2 linked regions of the Cricetulus griseus genome follow. Each later gene encodes a partner of the first gene's protein in a complex. Links are inferred from orthologs where the notes say so. Each region holds a gene or a part of one and is shown on either strand. Other genes may lie near its edges. The genes, in order: Atp6v1a and Atp6v1d.

Region 1 (11,258 bases):
TTGTTCCTCTGAGGACCAAAGCCAAGGAGATTCTGCAGGAAGAAGAGGACCTGGCAGAAATTGTGCAGCTTGTGGGGAAGGTGAGTTAGAGCAGGGGCCGCCTGGGGTACCAAGGTACCGTACTGGTTTCCGAAACTTAGGTATGCAGGTGCTTGCTTGGCTGGTATAACGGCTCATGACTAATCTGGGCACTAAGCCTGAGGTAGGGAGAATGCCACAATTATGAGTCCAGTGTGCACTGCATAGTAAGTTCCAGGTTATTGTGGGCTGTGAGTATGAGATCATGTCTCAAAACAAATAAAAAACTTAAATGTGCAGTGGTTTTCAAACCAGCTGAACCTTTAAAATTCCATGCCATGAGAGGTGAAAACAATACACCCATCACCAGTCAATTCGATATAAAATTAGGGCCCGTTAACATCATTTTTGTAGGAGCACTAGAACTGGGAATCAAAGGGCCAGATTTAATTCCTCTAATAATTAGCTATGTGACCTTCAACGAGTCATTTACATTCTAGAGCCTATGTCTGGATATTCAAAGGAAGATGTTGTAAATAAACTTAGTCAAACTAAATCTCACAAGTGAATGATTTCTCAGGTCATCCACAGGACTAGCCAGGACTTAACCCCTTCCCTCTCTTTAGATAGATTATTCCTATGTAGCTCAGGCTAGCTCATACCCATAATTCAATTGTTTCTACCTCCCAAGTACTGAGATTACTGGTGTGTATCACCATGCCAGGGCCTATTATTTTTATTATATCTGATAAAATAGCCTCCTAATTTTTTCCAACAAAGGATAATATTAGCTAACATTTATAGCATGTATTACATATAGTGTTCCCAGTAGAGGTCATAGCTAGGCATGGTGGCATGCCTTTAATCCCAGCATTTGTGAGACAGAGGCTGACTTATCCATGAGTTAGAGGCTAGCCTAGTCTACATAGCTCCAGGCAAGCCAGAGACTGCATGGTAAAGCTGCGTTTGTATGTTTCTATGTTTTACACTAAGGTCTCAAAAAAAAAAAAAAAAAAAAAAAGTTGTGTGTGAACTAAGTAAAAAGACATACTTTTTTTCTATCAAAAGTATTTTAAAACTATTATAGGAGATTATTGAAAAACAGTCCACACTTGGGAGTGGATTAAAAGGAGGCATTTCAAGGGTCAGAAAGATGACTCTGTAGGTAATGCTGCTTGCCTCGTAAGCCTGGTAACCTGAATTCAACCCCAGAGTCTACATAGAGGTGGGAGGACAAAAGAAATGCCACAGAGTTGTTCTCCAACCCCACACCTCTCTGTGGCGTGCCTACATGTGCGTGCACACCACATACATGCACACCGTGCACACACAATAAGCAAGTAAGTAAAAATTTTGGCATTACCACTTCTGTTTGAACTATAAAGTCAGTGTAATACCAACCACATTTCTAGTTGATTGCATCTCTCAGTGCTGGAGATGGTACCCCAGGCGTGCTAAACAAACACCCTGCTACTGAGCTACATCTCAGCCCACCGTAGCTGAATCTTCTGAGTAAATCAGCAGTCATTCTGAAGTTCATTTACTGTCCTAGAGATTGGCTCTTAGGAAACAAAACACAATAGTAAATAGGGAGGGGATGTTCTCCTCCTGGGTATTGACAGAAAACTCTAATAGTAAAAACAGTGTGGTATTGGTGAGATAACAGACAAACGAACCAATGGACAGAGCCGGGATAGATTTATATGTACATGGATCCTTGATACTGCATAGCGCTTCACAGATCAAATGGGAGAAGTATGGATTGTTTTAGTCAGCAGTGGAAAAACTGTTAGGTGTTTAAAGCAAATGAAACTGGGTTGCTTCCCAGTTCCACATATGAAGGTAAACTACAAATAGGTTAAAAATTTAGGTATGAGAGGAAACACTTTCATGTTAGTAGAATACAATTTTTAAAAGATTTTTTGTGTATGTGTGCCTGCCTGTGTGTGTGGATGTGTGCGTGAAAGTGCATGTGCTGTTGGGAGCCAGAGGTGTCTGGTCCCCCGGAGAGAGTTATAGGCAATTTTCCTCAAGAGAAAGCAGCAGTGGAGCTGGAGAGATAAGATAGCTCAGTGTTTAAGAGCACTTGCTCCTCTTTCAAAGGTTCCCAGCACCCACCTAGGGGCTCATAGCTCTAACTCCTGATCCAGGGGATCAGTGCCCTCTTCTGGGCTCCCTGGGTACCACAGACATATATGCATTTAAAGCACTGATGCACATGGCATTAAATGTAATAAATTTTAAAGGAAGTTTTTAGTAAATAAAATCAATGGTCGACTGTTTAAAAGATAACCACAGGGTAGAGCAGACAGATGAGAGAAGGAAGCCAGAAATATTACAGACCTGTGGATACTCCTTCAAACAGCAAGGACATACCAATCTATACTAGTTTGAATGGCAAAAGTTATACAGCTGGAGGTTGCCAAGTACTGGAATACCATTGATAGATATATCATTTGGAGTGGCCATAGTGGACAGAATGAGCTGGGTGCCTTGAGTCCTTAGGGTTTATAATAGTAGAAAATTTGATGAAAGTTTGGTGCCCTCTACCAGGGGCAGAGATACAAGGTAAAGAATGGAGGCTGTGCATACAGAATGTAATTGCCGGAGTTGCAAGAAGTGAATTGTATAGTACAGAACAGCATGGTGGATCTTAAAATCAGCTAGTCAGAGACACTGGAGAATGTTTCAAATAGTGAAAAAGTATTTTTACAAAACAAAATATACATTTTTCCATAATTTAAAACAAAAACACATCAACGATGCTTAATATTTAAGTGTGGTTGAAGAAAGAAATAGAGGTGAAAGAGATTTTTTTTTTTCTTTTTAAAGAGAGAGCTGTGAAAGGCTTGATCCTCAGCTGAGGTGCTGATGCACCTAGTCAGCCCAGAGTGCCTGGAACTTCCTGTTTGTCCTTCCTCCTCCTGTTAGTCATCCCAGCAACAATGGTATTGTCTCATGGCTGGCCTGGCAGCTGCCAACAGCAGAGCGTTTGAGGCAGTGATACTTAGAGGTTGAGGCAGCTGTGTAACTTAGCTTACTAAAAAAACAGCACTCAGATAAGCAAATACTTACCTATCCATCATTGTTCTAAACATCCTGTAATGTTAACAACAAAGTAACTATGGACTATTTAGGTTTCTGTCAATCAAGCTTAAAAACTGAATTCAAATAATAGCAACAAGGTATGGTGTAAAAAAAGTACTTTATAAAATGGGTGTGAGGCCAGGAGGTGGTGTGGTGGCACACACACAGGCGTACACACATACACGTGATGCCTTTAAAGAATAATCAGGGCTAGTTAGGTGACTCAATGGCTAAGAGCACTTGTTCTTGCAGGGTTCAGTTCCCAGTATTCACATGATGGTTCATAACCATTTGTAACTCCAGTTCCAGGATATCCATTGCCTTCTGACCCCTGGGAGTCAGGCACACTCATAATACATATACACGCAGGCAAGGCACTCATACACATAAATTAATGATTTTTTTAAAAATTAATTATCTTGCATACTCATATTCATAGTAGTATTATCTATATAGCCAAGAGTGAAAGTGATTCAAATGTCCACCTTTTAGTGAACTAGTGGACAAATACATTAGTCACCTGCTTCAGCATAGATGAATGATGAGGACATTTTAAATGAGATAAGCTAGTTATGAAGGAAATAGTATATGGTTCTACTCATATCCGATGTCTAAAGTAGGGAGAAGAGCAATGGAGTTTGTGGGCTTAGAGTTTCAGGTGTACAAGAGAAAATGTTTCATAACAACGTGATAGTGCTTTATATTACAGAGGAACCTTGAGGGGTACAACTCAGACCGGCCTAAAGCTCACTTTGCCATCTGGCCTACCTTGGAACTACTGCAGTCCTCCCTCTCAGCTGGCCAAGTGCTGAGATCATAGGCATGAGTCACCATGCATAACTTCTAGATGCGAAATTTTGTGTCATGTTCTGTTTTACCACTACTAAAAAACAACCAAAACCTTTGCATTTATCAGTGATAAGTAATTGTATGTTGATGTCTGCTTGCCAATTGATTTGTTGCTATTGATCCCACACAATGAAATAAAATTTCTTAAAGTACCCTTTTGTTTTCTAGGCTTCTTTAGCAGAGACAGATAAAATCACTCTGGAGGTAGCAAAGCTTATCAAAGATGACTTCCTGCAACAAAATGGATACACTCCTTATGACAGGTATGCTATGCTAATTTCTTTTTTTTTTTTTTATTTCCCCTTGAGACAGGGTTTCTCTTTGTAGCCCTGACTGCCCTGAAACTCACTCTGTAGACCAGACAGGCCTCTAGCTCTCAGAGATCTGCCTGCCTCTGTGTCTAGAGTGCCTGGGATAAAGGTGGGCACCACCACAACAGGCCTAATTACCTTATTTTTATAATGTATTTTTATTTGGCTGATTTGTGTGCATTGATTGGTGTTTTGCCTGCATGTATGTCTGTGTGAGGGGGTCAAATTTGGGAGTTACAGGCGTTTGAAGACTTTTTGTTGTGTTTTGGCAAAGAAGCTGCCTGCATGTTGGAAACTTTCCCATACAAGTGCATTCTGACTCAGTATATTGCTTGTTCTGTGTGTTTATAGCAGGCATCTAGTATGCCCCTTTGTCTGAATTTGCTTTGTTAGTGAAATTCTGACCATGTTTTCCCTCACACAAACATCTATAATTAGAGTGAATTATGGCATTGTTCGCAGACCTACAGGGCATCTCCTGCTGCATTCTGCTGTCCTTGCCTAAGTATTCTGTGCTTCCCTGCCTTATTTCACAAGGGTCCCAGGTTTCTTGATACAAAAGACTTGTTGAAAGTCCCTCCCACCTTCTTCCTTCTCTGCCCACTGCTTGCCTGTTTTCATTTTCTCTGCTGCTGATGTAGCTTGTTTAGAAAACCTGTTTCTTTGGAACATGAGAATTTGATCCTTTTGTCTTAAGCTAGCCTTCTCTCTCTTAAATCCTATTTGACTCCATCCAAGACTAAAAAGAGCTAGGGAACCGGCTTGATGTGCCTGATTTCAAGCCCTCCAAATCCACACAAAGCCAAGCACAGTAGCACACATCTGTGTCCTAGGATGCTGGAAACAGGACTTCTAGGAAGCTAGTGTGGCATACACAGTGGTAGACTGCCGAGACTGTCTCAGAGGAGGAGGAAGGCACGGACTGATACCCACGGTGAAAACTGAGCAAATAGGATTGACCAGAATGCCAATATGTCAGTTAGCCTCAGAAGTCTGATTTGTCCTGAACTGAAACACCACATAAAGAGAATGGGTAGAATTCTTCAGAATGACTATAATAAGATACATGGAGTTGAGTGTGTGTGTGTGTGTGTGTTTGTGTTTGCTTGCGAGCGTGCATGTGCTTGAGTGTGTATGCTTTTAAAAGGTATGGGCAGATAAAAATGAGTATACTAAAGAGAACTGAAGGCTGGGGCTTGGGGAGGGGGTGATAGCTTACCTGGGATACCCAAGGCTCTGAGTACACGGAGGAGGGAGGGATAACAAGGTAACTTTAGCAAGTTTGCAATTCTCTGCTTTCCTATTATTCATTAAACCTTGACTCTGGCCACAAGGAGTCTTACAACTCAGTTGTTTTTCCACTTGAGTTACATATTTAACTTCTTGTACCCAAACAGACTGCTGACAAGTCATTAGTGTGGCAGTACTGCTTCATTGTTTTCTGTTCAATAATTGGAAGCAGAATATATGTTTAAAGAAACTAATGGCTGGTAATTCATGAAGTTTCATATAATAAAAATATGCACTTGCTTTGTAGGTTGTTTTTGCTAATTGCCTTGTTGTTCATTTTCCCTAGGTTCTGTCCATTCTATAAGACAGTGGGGATGCTGTCCAACATGATTTCATTTTATGATATGGCCCGTAGAGCTGTTGAGACCACTGCCCAGAGTGACAATAAAATCACATGGTCCATTATCCGTGAGCACATGGGGGAGATCCTCTATAAACTTTCCTCCATGAAATTTAAGGTATAGTTTCTTTCTACTCTGACCTTTGTTGGCAAGAAGCCAACCTTCCTTCCTCCCTCCCTCCCTCTCTCCCTCCCTTCTTCACTTTCCCTTCCTTCCTGTCCTATTTGAGTTCCAAACCTGAGGTATGAAATTTGCATTTTTCTTTTTGAAGACCTATTTTCATTTGATTTATGTGTATAGATACATTTGTTGTAAGTATTGTGCCACTTGTGTGTGGTCACCTGTGGAGTACAGAGTGGCTGTTGGATTACCTGGAGCTGGTGCCTGCACACAGTGTGGGTGCTGGGAACTAAGCTTGGGTCCTCTGGAAAAGCAGCAAGTTTAACTGCTGAGCCATCTCTATGTTCCTGAAATTTGCATTTTTCATTTTATAATACTTAGGTTGTATAAAACCAGAACAATCTTCCAAGTTATGTTCAAGCAGGAATTCCAGTGGTAAAGATTGTACTATGTCATGTTTGTAGGGTTGGAAAGAAGGCTCAGCAGTTAAGAGCACTTACTGCTCTTGCAGAGAGCCTGGATTCAACTCCTAGCACCTATATGGTGGATACAACCGAAACTCTGAGGATCTGAGTTTGCTGACACCCAAGGATTACTGCACACAAAGGATGTACAGATATATACTCAGGCACACACACATACACATTAAAAAAATATTATAGTATGCCATGTCTAAAATAAATTCTAATGTGTTTGCTCTCTGTCTTAGCTACTAGTCAGCATAGAGTAACGTCCTAGCTGGACAGCAGTTACTTTAGTAAAGTGCCTATTATTTCATCTAGCCTCCACTTTCTCATAAACAAAGTTTAACCAGTTAAGTGAACTTACCAGTAGAAACCCAGATATAGGAGTGTTTTAAAATATTTGATGAGTTGGATTACATTGTGTTACTTCTTTTTTTTTTTTTTTTTTTTTTGTTCTTTGAGACAGGGTTTCTCTATTGCTTTGAAGCCTGGAACTCACTCTGTAGACCAGGCTGGCCTCAAACTCACAGAGATCCACCTGCCTCTGCCTTCCAAGTACTGGGATTAAAAGTGTGTGCCACTAACACCCGGCACATAGTGTTATTTCTAAGTCACGCATAGGCACATGTAGTAATCACCCACTGAAAACGATGCTTTGAGCATACTTGTACTGTAGAAGCACAGACCTGGAGGCCACTAAATGGCTTAGTGGGTAATGGTACTTGCTACTAAACCTAATGACCCGGATTCCGTTAAATGTGCTCTATTAGTCTCACTTTTCCGTCTTCGAGTGATGCTCCAGGCCTTCAGGAAATTCACTGAATTTTAACTTCCAGTTCTTGTATACACACATGTGTCTAGTACATGATATTACGAAGTTCCCACTAACATACACATTGCTGAGGTTTGATCATTGAGCATCAACTACAGGCAAGATTCAAAAATGAAATAATGGATTTTGTTTTGTTTCAGTCTATTTGCACATTTCCACTGTAAAAGAAAATAGGGTAGTTTTGACTCCTACCTGTGATTTACCAGTGTACCTCAACTAACCTGGTACTCCGTATTAATAAGTAACCTATCTTACATCTTGAAAATTATTTCCAATAGGTGAATTAAATTTGTATTATTTCTCAGGATCCTGTGAAAGATGGCGAGGCAAGGATCAAAGCTGACTACGCACAACTTCTTGAAGATATGCAGAACGCATTCCGTAGCCTTGAAGATTAGACTGTGTCTCTTTCCTCCTCCTCAGCAAGCTCATGTGTATATTTCCCTGAATTTCTCATCTCAAACCCTTTGCTTCCCTATTGTGCAGCTTTGAGACTAGTGCCTCTGTGTGTTATCATTTGTTTTGTTGTTTCTTTGGTAGGTCTTTAAAACAAACATTCCTTTGTGCCAGTGTTTGAAGGGGCTCCCTGACCTTCATCTGGAGTGGTGAATGTAGTGCATATGGTACACAATGGTACACAATGGCTATGCTACTGTAAACCTGTATGTAAGGTGACTACCCCTTCCCTCATCTCCATTAAACTGTAAACAGGACTACTGCATGGACTCTATTGGGAATGGAAGGCCAGATCTCTGTACCTATGGATAGGTACTGAGGAAATGACTCTGCATTTGGAGTCAGACCACTTGCAACTTAGTGTTTTGTTGAGTAACTGTTGAGTAACTGTTTTGCAAGAAATATTTCCATTTAGAAACATAAAAGATTAATGTTCCAATTATGCATAGCTTCCCCATTATCAATCAGGAGAGATTATGGGGCACTTGGGAACTATTTTGTCTTTATAACAGGCGTTTGCAAGGCTGAGCATAATAGATAAATCAGTTCCCTCTGAAAGTGTGAAAGAAAGAAAGAAAGAAAGAAAAAAAGAGCCAGGTGGTCAAACTTAAATTAACATCATCTTGTTAAAGCATATTTTATTTCACTGAGAGAAATTCAATATCAAGGACTTTTATATACTCAATTACCAAGAAATCTTTTTTTAAGTACAATTTAAAAATCATTGAAAATGTGATCCACATCATAGCCATTCTTTTCCTCAAACTTAGGTGGACAAGCTTCTCAGAGTGGCAGTGGGAACTGGCATGTCACAAATAACGTAGTAGTGCTTACAGGCAGTTTGCCCCTGTAAGAACCAGCTGTGCTGTGGTATTTCTTGGGGCCAGAGTGGCATTATTTTTACAAGGTACATGTGTCATATGTTTGTTTGCTTGATGAAATTCTGAAAAACAGTCTACCAATTGCAGAAAATATTACTTTTCTATGTTTTTATTCACTGGCTCAGAAAGCTTCTCAAAGGGTCTGTGGTCATAGTAGCATGACTGTATCCATTCTGTTGACAGAGATGAAGTTATTCTTGTATTTGACTGGTAGCAAAAACTGGGTCATAAAAAAAGGAAAAGATCAATTTTGTCTCACTGTTTCAGTATGTTTAAATAATAATTTCCATGTTTGCATAATGAGGCCCATTTCTGAGAGCTTGGAGAGCTAGCCCCCTGATCACTCTCTGTGCTGATAATGCTGACACCATACTTCCTCTTCAGGACAGGGAAGGGTATTGAACATGTCTGACACTCTCAAGTACACAAGTGTGATAACAAAGTATTTCTTTTAAGCCTTGGTATGTTATTTAAATTATTAGGTGGTACATTTCTTTTGGTCTTTTGGGTAGACATAGTCAGTCTACAGTTCAGACATAATGTGTAAATCCTTGCACAGTGCATGTCTTTACACAGTGGACTGCTGTTCCGGAAGGATGCTCTTCCAGGTCACATTTTAAAAACTGTTGAACAATGTTGACAGATGTGGATTATGCAATGACTTGTTGAGATATGGATTAATGGTGCTGCTTAATCAGTTTGCTTCCAATGTGGCTTTGTATCCAGAGGCCCCTGACTAGTGGAAATGAAAAAGATTTCAAAACCTTTCTACTTAGACCTACCAGCAAACTAGGTTTGTGATCAGAGTGAATGATCCAAAGAAACTACTTGACCAAGTTTGTTTTTTGTTGTTCTGGATTTGGGATGTGCATTATTTCTCCTTTTAAGAATATTGATGTATGAGTGTGAAGAAGCTAGAGAAATGTTGCTCAGATCTCCACTGTAACTTTCCTTTTATCCACATTGTAGAGTTTTGGATTGTTCACTGATAGTGTTTCTTTAGTAAGGATATGTTAAAATTCAGTGATCTTTTAAAAAGATTATGCAGTTCTATTTATTGTGCTGTGCCTGGACATGAGTGCAGCCAGTTAAACAAGTTTCATAAGTATTTTTCCAGTGTTAAATCTCACACCTACACCCTTTGGAAACTTCCATGCTGGACAACAAATAGAAGAGGCCATATAAATTGCCTCCTTATCCTTAAGATTTCACCGTCTTTATGTCAAGAGTAATGTATAATTATTAAAATCTATGAAAAATAAAAAGTGGATTTAAATTAACTTTACTTTCCTTTTTTCGGGGGTGGGAGGATGAGGAGGAACAAGCTCTCCTAGAAAACATTCCACTTTATATTTTGACTTAGTGTTACAATATGTCCTTTTGAAAATGTTTTACGTTATAGAGTACTTGCATCGTGAAGTTGGAGTGTGGCATTCCCAACAGTCTCCACAGCATCCTCCAATCATAGCTCACGGTGGGTGGGAAGTACAGTTTGCAGAATCTTACCCCGTTCTGACCTGCCTTAAGTGAGTGGGTTTTTTGTTTTTTTTTTTTCAAAATTAAAAGTGATCCATGGTGCTCATTTTAGTTTTTGTTCAGTTTGAACTAAGTCTTATAATGTGCAATGCAAATAATTTTAGATCCTCTGCTGCTCTCCAGTATGTTATCTAGATGTGTATATGTGGGTTTATTAGATTGGCTTGCATGGTTGGAACTGCATAGTCCAACAGTGGCCATCTGCATGCTCAACAGTCAATGTCCAGTAGCTACTCAGCCCAGGAACCTGGAAGCCTCAGTCCAAGAGGGACTGATGAAAGCACACCCAGGCCAAGGCTGACAGCCGAGAAGTTTCCTTGAGAGTCCATGTGGAAAGGCTGGGGAAGCTGGAGTCTGGCGTCTGTGGGTGATGGCAACAGCAACAGACATTCAGGGTGAGAGGAATTTGCACTAACTGGCTTCTCCCTGCCTTTGTTGCACCAAAACCCCAAGCCTATTGGATGATGCCAACCACATTTAGGGGAGGCCTTTCCCTTAGTTGGTATCCATCCATCTCTGGAAATGGCTGCACAGTCACACCAAGAAATGTGCTTTACTAATATAGGCATCTCAGGGTTCTTCAGGGGAACAATGTACATAAAGGGAGATTATTGAAGCTGGGCTGTGGTGGCGCTCGCCTTAAATCCCAGCACATGGGAGGCAGAGGCAGGCGGATCTCTATGAGTTTGAGACCAGCCTGGTCTACAAGAGCTAGTTCTAGGCTCCAAAGCTACATAGGGAAACCCTGTCTTGAAAAACCAAAAAAAAAAAAAAGTGGGGGGAGGGGCACTAATGATTTGGCTTATACAATATGCACTGAGTAGTCCAAAAATGGCTGTCTTACACTGGATATGCCTAGAATATGGTAACTGCTCAGTCCACAGGCTACAGCTTTTTCATCACAGTCTGGTGCTGAAGGTCCAAAGGTTGCTCAAGAGTCCACTAGTCCTCAGTCATGTGGAAAGGCAAGGGGACTGAATTCTCATGTCCATGAAGAATGATAGCAACAGTGACAATGGCAGCAGCAGAGTAGATGAGTTTGCCTGCACAACATGAAAATTCTACTTTGTAGA
Region 2 (11,255 bases), on another chromosome or scaffold:
AAAGGAAAAAAACAAAACAAAACAAAGCAAAACGATGATTGGATTTGAGTAAATTTTAAGTAATGTCACTGCCACTGGTGACAGTGGGGCCATGTGGATCAAGACTCAAACACATGGCCTATAAAGGCACATACCATGCTACCATGGATTCTTTTAGACTGAGATTTTTCAAAGTCAGTAAGATCCTAACTTTACTCATATCCATACATGGATAGTATATATCCTGAAATTTTCTAAATCCTAGTGATTATGAATCTAATAATGCTCAATAATAGTCCCTGAACAGTGAAAAGTTTAGCTGTGCTTAAAAAAAAAAAGAAAAAAAAAGCTCTGTTATAACTGTAATTGTACAGTGTGAGGGCCAGTTCAATTCCCTATCCCTCTGTGGTTCTGATTGGAAACTGCAGTGCTAGGGAAGCCTCAGAAATGATATTGTGGTTGGCAGGAACATAGCTCAGTTGGTAGAGTACTACCTAGCATTCACAAAGCCCTGTCTAGATCCCCAACACCACAGAAAACCAACATGGGGTTCATAGCTGTAGTCCCAGAGCTTTGAAAGTGGAAGCAGAAGGGACAGCAGCTCACAGTTACCATCAGCCACATGAGATCCTGTCTCAGAAACAAAGTAGACAATATCAGCTAATGACATGTTCTCGGGAAACCCAAACAAGGAAGAACCATCATTTCTTGAATTTCCCTATGTCAGAACAAATAGGACATTAGTATTTAGACTAGTCCAGATTAGTTTTCTATGGAAATCTAGTGTGTGGATTGTTTTCCTTCTCTCATGGCCTAAGGAGTAAATACTGACAAGGAATGATTTGAATGTAATTTTTGTGAATGTGTAGAAAATATTAAACAGGGATTCATCCTTAATGAAGGTAATTACGTTGGCATTCGTTGTTGATCTCCCTTTGTACTGTCTTGTTTCTCTACTTGTTATCTTGAGATGTCTTACTGCACATTGTATTGTAAAAATAAAAAGCAAAACTATTTCAAATCAAAGAAGCCATAAATACTTTCTTTTATTATGTTCCTATCTAAGGTTTGTGCAAATATAGACCACTCCTCTTCCAAGGGTTTGTCAGAAGCAACACTGCTGGAATCTCTGAGTGGAATACAAATAGAATGTAATTTGTCATGGGTTGTCCTTTAATGGCATAGATGGTCAGTCCTATTTCTTTATTGGTTGGAACAAACAAGAAACTTGTTTTTATGAGACAGGGTCTTTCTACAGAGTCCTGGCTGTACTGGAACTCACTATGTAAACCAGGCTGGCCACTACACCTAGCCTTTAAGCTAAAACTATTGAAAATAGTCAACTCAACGGGGTGGTGGTGGCGGCGGCGGCGCACGCCTTTAATCCCAGCCCTTGGGAGGCAGAGGCCAGCTTGGTCTACAGAACAAGTTCCAGGACAAGCTCCAAAGCTACACAGAGAAACCCTGTCTCAAAAAAGGAAGGAAGGAAGGAAGGAAGGAAGGAAGGAAGGAAGGAAGGAAGGAAGGAAGGAAGGAAGGAAGGAAGGAAGGAAGGAAGGGACAAAATAGCCAACTCAGAGCTGGAAAAAACAAAACTTTTCAGAGAGAAGAGGTATTAACAGGCAAATTCTTTTTGGGGTAGCCAGGGATTTGAGAATATTTGAGTTGTTGGCACATACTTCATTTCTCCCAAAGATCACAAATCATAAACACGGCAGCCTAACAGCCGAACACGTGCTTGTCTGACCTTGCTTTAGTCACTAGGAGGTCAGATGCCTGCCTGGTGGCAAGGAACCAATCAGAAGTTAGCTGGTGGTGCTATGCTTTACGGTTCTGGGTGTGCTTTACGGATAAGTGCACAGCAATGACACACAGAGCATAGCAACCACCCTGGGAGGGCCTACGGGCCATAACAACCAGTTGACCAATCGACACAGGGCAAGCCCTCCAAGCCTGGAGGCACACCAATCCTGAGCCTGTGCATACCCCTAGACACTCCCCTTATGCTGCCCAATAAGATCTCTATGTAGACGCTTCGAGCTGTCTTTTCTAGCCATCTGCCATGGCTAGTGAATGAAAGACCCGAGCTAACATGGGGTTAGCTCGTTTAACAACTATAATAAAGCCTCGTGCTGTTTGCATCAAGTTTCTGCCTCCGCATGGTGATTGGGGTGGCTGCAGTCCTGGGCTGAGATTCTGGAGGCCTGATCTCCCGGGGGTCTAACAATGTACTCCAGCTTTCTTTTCTATTCCTGATCTGTCCCCTTTGGACCATCTCACTCCTAGCCAAACCCAACATTTACCCACTATGTAATCTTGACTTTTTAACATAAAGCCATAAAGTCCTCTAAAATCTTAGCTGAACCTGATGGTGCATGTCTACAATTCCAGCATGCAGGAGTTCCAGACCACCTTGGAACATAAGATCCTATTTCAAAAGGAACACACCTGTCAATCTGTGGACAGTTGAAGCATGCCCAGTTAAGTACCAGAGCTTTACTGATGCTGATGCTGCATGAGAAACCGAAATTCCTTTGGTCCAATGTTTTTCTTAAAATTCAAACTAAAAGCAGTGCCCAGTGCTCAAGGATTATGCCTCTGAGATCATTCCCCTTGTATTCATTCCACCTGTACCCTTTGACCTATATAAGCCGCCCAATTTCTCCACAGGCATACTGAAACAGTACAGTTTACACCTCACCAAGATACTGGGAAGTTGATTGCTGGACAGTTCAATGTTACCCAGCTATGAACTTGGGTACTGAACTGACTCTGAACCTGACATTTTCTCCTATGAGCTACATCTGGTTTCGTACAAATCAGCTTCTCTGAGACAGGCTACCTTAAATATGGAAGAAACAAGAAGAATAAAATGAATGTGGGCTGAAAGATTACTGAAGAGTTTGCCAAAAGACTCTGAGTTCAATACCCTGCCAAGAACCCATGTAGAAAAAAAGCAGCATGGTAGTACATGCTTATAAACCAAGCATGGGAAAGACAGAGATAGTTCCCTGGGGCTCGCTAACCTGCTAGGCTAGCCTAGCAAGCAAACAAACAAGGTAGGCAGGTCCTTAGAAATAGTTCCCAAGGTTGTCTTCTGGCCTCCATGTGCACATGCAAGCATGTACATGCACACACCAAAAAAGACAAAAAGTTAAGTGTGAACATCTGAAGGTAGGATCACTGAGATGGCTCAATGGAAGGTGCCTGACCCCAGGTCCCACAGCTTGAGTTCCATCCTGGGACCCATATGGTAAAAGGAAAAGCTGACTTGTGTGAACTGTGGTACACAAATTTCTCCACCTTTACATACCTATAAACAAAACAAATTAATACATTTTTGTGGTGATATCTTGTTACTCTGCCTCCCGAGTGCTGGGATTAAAGGCGTGTACCATCACTACCCAGCTAAATACTATATATTAGACTATTTGGACTTAAACTTAGGTTCATCAACACCATTTTCCAGCTTTTTAATTTAAAAGCAATTATTCAAGCTCCTATGTGTCTCAATCTTTATTCCATGGAATGGGCTAAAATACTTATTTTTAGACTGGTGTGGTGACTTAACATAAATGCTTCCTTAGCATGAAGCTCTGGGTTCACTCCCTAGGGCCACTTAAACAAAAACAAAAAACTTATTTGGTCATTTTGAGAACATAAACACATAAAACACTAAGTACCTGGTAAATAATCCTAAATATCTACAAAAATCATTTAACATCTTTAAAAGTCTACCTAGTGATAGCAGTTATCAGATTATATTAATGCTAGTGTCACTCTCATAACTAAGATCTGTACCATGCCCAGTCAAGCCCAGAGTCCTGGAACTGGCTGCATTAAAGTCTGAGTAATCAGATAATCAAGACAAATCAGACAATACTGAAAATTCAAGACACTCCTGGTCCACTTTGGCATCTCATCTTCATAAAAGAGAACAAACTGTTATTGCTTCTAAAACAGCAAAAAGTATTCTGATTAGTCCAAAGTAAGAATTAGTCTCATTCTTAGATTAGAGGGAAATAATTATGAAGTCTTATTTAGCACTGGCAGTCACTTATTAGTATTCCAAAATATAGTAACTGTCTCAAATAAACCTAGTGACACACTGAGATAGGGAATAAGAAAAGGCCCGTAGCTACATGTCTCTGGGAAAAGATGTGAGTGCCAGTAGGGTCACTTATCTGAAACTAAAGGCATGGTGGGGGACCGGGTCACCATTGTATTGTTAATTAACACTAGGCTGTTACTGTTTACCATGGCCTAAGGTGATATGCCTCCTAATTTGCATCTGTATGTGCCTAAGCATCTGAATAGGCCCTCACCTGGGCAGAGGAGCTAGAGGTATGAGTAACTTGGGAGGACAGGTTAGGAGCCAAGGGGCGAGCGGCCAGGACAGCGAGAAAACAAAGAGAGAAATGGCTGCCTCGTAGTATTAGCAGGATGGTTAAGAAACACCAGAAAAGATGACTAATAAAGAAATGACTCCAGTTCCACAACATGGAACTGAGAGCTCTCTGAAGATGACAAGATGCCTGTGTTTGGTCTTTATCGCCATTGGGTTCCGCGAAGCTTCCAGGTCCACACACCCCCACTCAGGTAGAACCTCATGGACTAAGGCTGAGATATGCTGGGTCACGACAAGGCATAATCACCATTCTTAGTAAAAAGAAAGAGAAACAACATGTTTTTAAAATCGTTTTACTCTGTTCATAAGTCACATTTAAATGGGCAGAACTGCTTCCATTACAGACAGACTTAGCGTGCAAAGAAAAATAGATGTAGAGCTGCGACCACAGTAACACAACAGTGGCTGCACAGTGCCATGGTTTGCAAGTGGGTAGGACAAAAGCTGCACCAGCAGTTGGCTGAAACCACGAATGTGTGTAAGTACCAGTGAAGCTACTGTAAATAGAATCCTAAGACGCTTTCACAGAGGAAATTATGTAAGTTACTGGGCAAGTTTTACACATCTCATTCAACTGTGATAACTGGTTGCTGAATCACAATGCAGGAGAAATAGTCTTACAGGACATCCCGATAAATCTTAAAGCCAGGGAATTCTTATGCCAAAATAAATAGCCACATATACCGAACCTATACACTGGGTTAACACGGAGCTGGTGCTGGGTCTGAGGGAGCAAAGGGGCCGTTACTCGAACAGCAGGTCCTCGTCCTTCTCCTCAGCCAGCAGGTTGGCAGGCTCCATCACTTCTCCAGCTGCTCTCCGATACTCCAACTCCTTCTCGAATTTTTCCTTGATAATCTTTTTCTTCTCCTGTATTTTCTTTAACCTGCAAGAAGGGGACTTTGAAAATGCTGTTTTCAGTTCAAAGGAACTGAATGTCTTCAGGATTTGTAACTAGGCAATAAACATGGGACAATTAGAATCTGACTTTCATTTTCTGTCATCTTAAAATGTTTGAGGGAAATAGCTATTAATATCTGATTGCAGATACCCTAGACTACATTGAATAAAACTTGAAATCCATCCTGTAATGGTACAGATTCTGGATCACTACAACCCTGAAAATGAATGGTAACTACAATTCTATGTCACACTGAGCTGTTTCAAGATCTGAGACCAGCCTGCTGCCCTGAACGTTCCTCTCACCTACCCACCCTCCACTTATGCAAACTTAGTTTAGTATTTACCCCACCGCTCTAAATCTTCACAAACAAGCTGTGGGCGTCGTTTTTCTCACCACATAATGTGCAGTGTGATTCATTAATTGGGAATGCCCAAGTATTCAATGTGCAGTGTGTGGCTTGCTCGATTCATTTCTCATCTCAGGTTTTATGTAGGAGACACTCAACTCCTTTTGTTTTAAAGAATAATCTTACTAGTTTTTCTAAAAGGCATAAATTTTTGATGGTGCCATGTTTGATCTATGTGCAAAACATGATACGGATCTCCACCACCTTTGGAAATACGGTTGCCCCACTCTGCCGTGGATATGCTCTGAGACCTGAAGATCTGAAACCAAGTTTGCATAGTATGCTTCTTCGTACATAGTCTACCCTTAGTAGAAGGGAAGTGTGATTAAAAATTGGTAAAGTTTAACTTAAAAATTAAGTACAGTAAGGGATTAGCGTTTTTGTTTTAAGTCAAAAATTTTCACCTCTTAAGGAAAACACAGCCTCTGTGAATACAAGAACCACAGTAATGTGACAGCTGACAGCTGCTCTGATGACAACTACCAAGTGATTGACAGCAGGTAGTGTACAGGGTGGTTATGTTAGCTGAAATAATGCTTCATCTAATAAATAGCATAGCACCTTGATGTCTCATGACACTTGGAAGAGCATCCAATTGAAAATCTACATACTTGGTCTTTAATTTCTCATGTAACATTTTTGGACTGTAACTGTTAACCAAGATAAACTCAAATGGAAGATCAAAATGCAGGAAAAGGGGACAGCTGTTATTTCTTCTTTCAGTTTGATGTTCTCAGAGTATATGTTTTGATATAGCCCAGGCTAGCTTTCAGCTTACAGTCTTGTCTTCTGAGTTCTGAGATTATAAGCAAGCACCACATGCCCAATATTAATTTCTTGTTTTTATTCAACAGAATAAAATAAACCGCTTATGCAAGTGCATTAGTCACTGAGCAAACCCAGATTGTAGTGTATGGGGAAAACAAAAACAAAACCATTAAGTGCCAATTCAACAAACCTATAGAATTCTTCTCGCTCTCTCTCATCCAGCTCTGTGATAATATAGGCAAGGGTGCGTTCAATCCGGGGAATGATAACTAGAGTTTAAAAATATACATATGTGAGAACTTAAATGCCCTTTCAAAAAACTACCAGTATTTAGCTGTACAGTAATTATTTTCTAATTGTAGAAATAACATACACTTAATGCAGAGAACTTGGAAAATAAAAAACACAAAAAATTAAAATCAGATGTAGTCCAGCCAAATAAAATTACCTTGAAATTATTTTGGTATGTACCCTTCCAGTATCTTTTCTACATACAGATACCAATAGTGGGCCAAAACAGATGTAACACTGGATACTAAGTATACCTGAACAAGTAACAATAAGTCACAGGCATTAGCTTAAATACACTAAAATACCATGGCTAAAAACTGAGAGGAAGAGCCAGGCAGTGGTGGAACACACCTTTAATCCCAGTGCTCGGGAGGTAGAGGCAGGCGGATCTCGAGGCCAGCCTGGTCTACAAAGTGAGTTCCAGGATAGGCTCCAAAGACACACAGAGAAACTTTGTCTCAGAGAGAGAGAGAGAAAGATAGAGAAATGCTGTGACCATTATATATGTCACTCCGCTCTCTGCTTTACATATCAGTGTTCCTATCGTCCTCCTGTAATGTGAGCTCTCTGAAGTTGAGAACTATTATCCTTACCCATTTTGTTTTGATGGAAGTTCAATGAAACAAAGACTGACACTAAAAAGCAGACAAGAACTGTGTTTCTGGGGTAATGGTGTAGCTCAGTGGTACAGTATTTGCCAAGCCTGCTCTGAGGCACCACCAAGTAACATGCCATCTGTATTTTCAGGTGGCATAATACTATCAGGGCATCAACTGAAGGACTAAGGACTTTCTTTGCTTCGGTTCTTGTTCCTCTCTTACCTAAGGCTAAATAAACATTTCTTTCAAAGAAACTGAGTTCTTCAGCCAAGAACATTGTTAACATAGTTGTATTTTTAAAATAATGGGATAAAAGAAAATAAACGTAGTAAAATGAGACAATAGCCTAAAGGAGAGATTTAAAGATTTAATGTGTTAAAAAACAAAACAATCACTCATCCAATGGACAGAACTTAAGAAAGCACTAAGGCTCCTAAGGAATAGAACTTCTACTTTGCTAACTGCATGAACGACGGGAGGTGTATGGCATTCTGACCTGGTACTCCCTCAGGGTGCATCTCTGTGCTTTCTCACTGACGGACACATTTGTCTCTCCACTGTGGCAGGGGAACATCTCACCTCTCAATCTGGAGTGCTGGGCCTGAGTCCTGGCAGCTGTCTAACAAGTGGACGGGGCGGGGGAGGAACAAAGAGCTTCCCAGCAGCTTTGACTCACCATGCTCAATGGCATTTACACGCCTGTTCGTTATCTTAATGGCTTCATCCAGAGTAACAAAGGAAGTCTAAAATAAAAGGACAAATTAATGACAAGCGCACATCTCCATGATCAGTCACGCCTGTTCACTTGACCCCACTCAGACTGCACTCATAAAAAACATTTGGGAACCCAGAAACAATTAACTCTTTTTCAGCCTGCCTTAGAAACAGAAAATGCACATGCGATTTCTATAGAGCTAATGCAGTTTCTACAGAGAAGCATTCACTCATAATGAACCACATACACATACACATAAAGGAACCATGTCACAGCACTCCTTGGAGTGGAGCACCACGTATGCACTTTACTAATAAAGAGCAAAGACAGATGAGCTGAAGCCGCTGGCCACTTCAGAAGTCAGATGTTTAGGCTTGTTTCACACAAAGGGTCATCTGAGTTGAGTGTGCTCCAACACAAGCCCCAATGTTGCCCACGTGACTGTGAGAAGCCAAGCTGGAGAGCTCCCTGTTGCAACACACCTGCAGTGAAGCTAGCTCCACCAGTAGTTCCACTGCTTTGGCATAATTCCTCTTCAGTTTGGCCAGCTGTTCCCCACCTCTAGCTAAACCAGTCAATTCATAACCTGAAAGAGCCATGAGACAACATTTTTAATTAGGGAGTAAATAATCCTCTATGAATTCCCAAAAGGAAGATGATTCAGAATAATACAAACATGGAAAAACAAATTCACTAACTCCTATTAAATGCAAATGCCAAACACAAAATACCCATTCCAGGTTAACATGAGCAGACCAAGGTAACAACTGCATTAAGTCTAGCTTGGTGAACCAATGAGTTTATTGGGCTTATATTATAATGTATGAGTTAAGTATGGAAATATGATGACCCCAAAAGGTGCCTCACAGAAAAGTCTCCTCCTAGCATGGTTAACATCCCCATAGCCGAGCCCCCCCACCTTTAGCTAGTCTTTTATGTTCTATATATTCTAGCACCTCCAGAGACCATGTGCAGCTACAAAAGAAATGAATGAAGGGCTGATTAGAATCTCAGCTAAGGATCTCATGACCTACCTTCTCTTCTAAGGAAGGTTAATGAGCCCATCTTAAGGGTCTCTTGCAGGTCACCACAGAGTCTCTGACTGACATTGGAATGGCTGCATGCTTAGATGACAACATTCTATTGAAGGAACTGGCTTCCCTTTTGGCAGCCATAACAGCTGAACATGTGCTTCTATGACCTTGACCTAGTCACTAGAAAGTCAGATGCCTGTCTCGTGACAAGGAGCCAATCAGAAGTCAGCTGGTGGCGCTATGCTTTACGACCCTGGGTGTGCTTTACGGACAAGCGCACAGCAATGACGTAGAGAGCATAGCAACCACCCTGGGAGGGCCTATGGGCCATAACAACCAGTTGACCAATCAACACAGGGCAAGCCCTCCAAGCCTGGAGGCACACCAATCGTGAGCCTGTGCATACCCCTAGACACTCCCCTTACGCTGCCCTATAAAGATCTATGCGCAGCAGCTTCAAGCCATCTTTTCTAGCTGTCCGCCATGGCGGGTGAGTGAAAGACCAGAGCTAACATGGGGTTAGCTCGTTAAATTACAATAAAGCCTCGTGCAGTTTGCAGCAAGCTCTCGAATCCGCCTGGTGATTGGGGTGACCGCGAACATGGCTTGGGACCCCGAATACTTGAGTTTTCGGGGATCTAACACTATAACATACTAAACAGAACTTGGGTATTTACAAGGCTACTAGAGTAACTGTAAGGAGAGAAGAGAGAAGTAAACACACTAGACGAGCCTTTACCACAGAGCTATACCATTAGCCCTAGAGGGGAAAGTTAACCACTTCACAGCTTGACAAATTAGCTAACAGTAGTCAATGTCATTAGTACAAGGAAAGTTTCTGTACAGATGACTATTCCTTTATGTGACCCACAATTAACATTCTGTACATTTCAGTGAAAAAGTTCATGAACCAATGAATTATAAGTGGCAGAAAAATATTTTTATATGGAAAAAGGTTAACTATTTCACTCTGAGAAGACTAAACAAGTGTTAACTATCCTCACAAATGCTGCCAAATTAAGAAAGGAAGAATTTCAAAAAAGCTTGGAGCTAGCTAAAACTATCTAGAAAGATCCAGCATTCAGAATGCATCATAGGATGTAAGGTTTTATTCTACTTTTAAAAGACACAAACCAGAAATGATAAACAATCCATGATGAGTACAGTTTAAGCAAAGAGATAACACAGATGTCTAGTTAGTGAATTGGTAATAAAAGACAAAGCCTCATATTTTTAAATAGCAAGTGACTAACAACTGTATTTCTCAGTTACAAGCATATATCTTAAGATAGTCACACTTACTATCAGTTCCTTCATGGTAATGTTCAAACACTGGTAGGGTAACACCTGTTAAATGAAAATAATGAAGATGTATATGTGGATTCACAAATTGGATGTGAAGTACTTGTTTTCCTTTTCTTGGATGGACTCTGGCTCTTCAGGAACAGCCTATGTAGCTCAGGCAGGCTTGCTCTTCCTTCCTTCCTTCCTTCCTTCCTTCCTTCCTTCCTTCCTTCCTTCCTTCCTTCCCTCCTTCCTTCCTTCCTTCCTTCCTTCTTTCCTTCCTCCCTCCCTCTCCCTCCCCCCACCTCTCTCTCTCTTTAAGACAAGGTTTCACTATGTAGACCAGGCTGGCCTGGAACTTACAGATCAGTCTCCTAAGTGTCAAATACTAAAAGAATCAAGAAATTAAGTTTGGAACTGTAAATGGCTTCAAATGAAAACAGCTGACCTGAACAAGGGGGAGCTCATAATCTCCAGACTGACAGCTGGGAAACCAGCATAGGACTGAACCAAGCCCCCTGAACATGGGTGTCAGTTAGGAGGCCTAGGCAGTCTATGGGGCCTCTGGTAGTGAAAAGTGTTTATCCCTAGAGCACAAATGGACTTTTGGGAGCCCATTCCCCGTAGAGGGATACTCTCTCAGCCTAGAAATGGGGGGGGGGGTAGTCTCTGCCCCAAATGATGTGACAAGACTTTGATCCCCCAGGGAAGACCTCACCCACCCTGGGAAGCAGAAGGGGGATGGGATAGGAGGTTGTTGGGGGGCAGGGGAGGATGGGAGGGAGAGGAAGCTAGGATTGATATGTAAAATAAGATTGCTTCTAATTTAAAGAACTCTAGAAGGAAAAAAAAAGAACTTGTCTTCAA

What was found.
Region 2: the proteins of Atp6v1a (region 1) and Atp6v1d are in contact, whole or in part, in a cryo-EM structure (PDB 9B8P), measured with the Rattus norvegicus proteins. The link is inferred for Cricetulus griseus from reciprocal best matches to the Homo sapiens genes ATP6V1A and ATP6V1D. Residues at the interface, in NP_001101788.1 of Rattus norvegicus: Ala366, Met368, Pro369, Ala370, Asp371, Ser372, Asp416, Ser418, Asp436, Lys438, Glu491, Gln494, Leu495, Val496; in NP_955418.1 of Rattus norvegicus: Lys4, Asp5, Arg6, Arg167, Ala171, Val175, Ile176, Arg179, Tyr186, Glu190, Arg194, Glu197, Tyr200, Arg201, Lys204, Ile205, Lys208.

The regions. Positions count from the first base shown.
Region 1 is NC_048597.1:46,311,963-46,323,220, forward strand, and holds the end of Atp6v1a (V-type proton ATPase catalytic subunit A), read left to right. Parts: coding exon 1-80; intron 81-4,122; coding exon 4,123-4,217; intron 4,218-5,841; coding exon 5,842-6,013; intron 6,014-7,617; coding exon 7,618-7,710; 3' UTR 7,711-7,938; downstream 7,939-11,258. UniProt on the Homo sapiens protein: Catalytic subunit of the V1 complex of vacuolar(H+)-ATPase (V-ATPase), a multisubunit enzyme composed of a peripheral complex (V1) that hydrolyzes ATP and a membrane integral complex (V0) that translocates protons.
Region 2 is NC_048598.1:124,792,546-124,803,800, reverse strand, and holds the end of Atp6v1d (V-type proton ATPase subunit D), read right to left. Parts: intron 10,452-11,255; coding exon 10,407-10,451; intron 8,657-10,406; coding exon 8,553-8,656; intron 8,099-8,552; coding exon 8,032-8,098; coding exon of another isoform or gene 7,935-8,031; intron 6,735-7,934; coding exon 6,656-6,734; exon of another isoform or gene 6,653-6,655; intron 5,274-6,652; coding exon 5,132-5,273; 3' UTR 4,665-5,131; downstream 1-4,664. UniProt on the Homo sapiens protein: Subunit of the V1 complex of vacuolar(H+)-ATPase (V-ATPase), a multisubunit enzyme composed of a peripheral complex (V1) that hydrolyzes ATP and a membrane integral complex (V0) that translocates protons.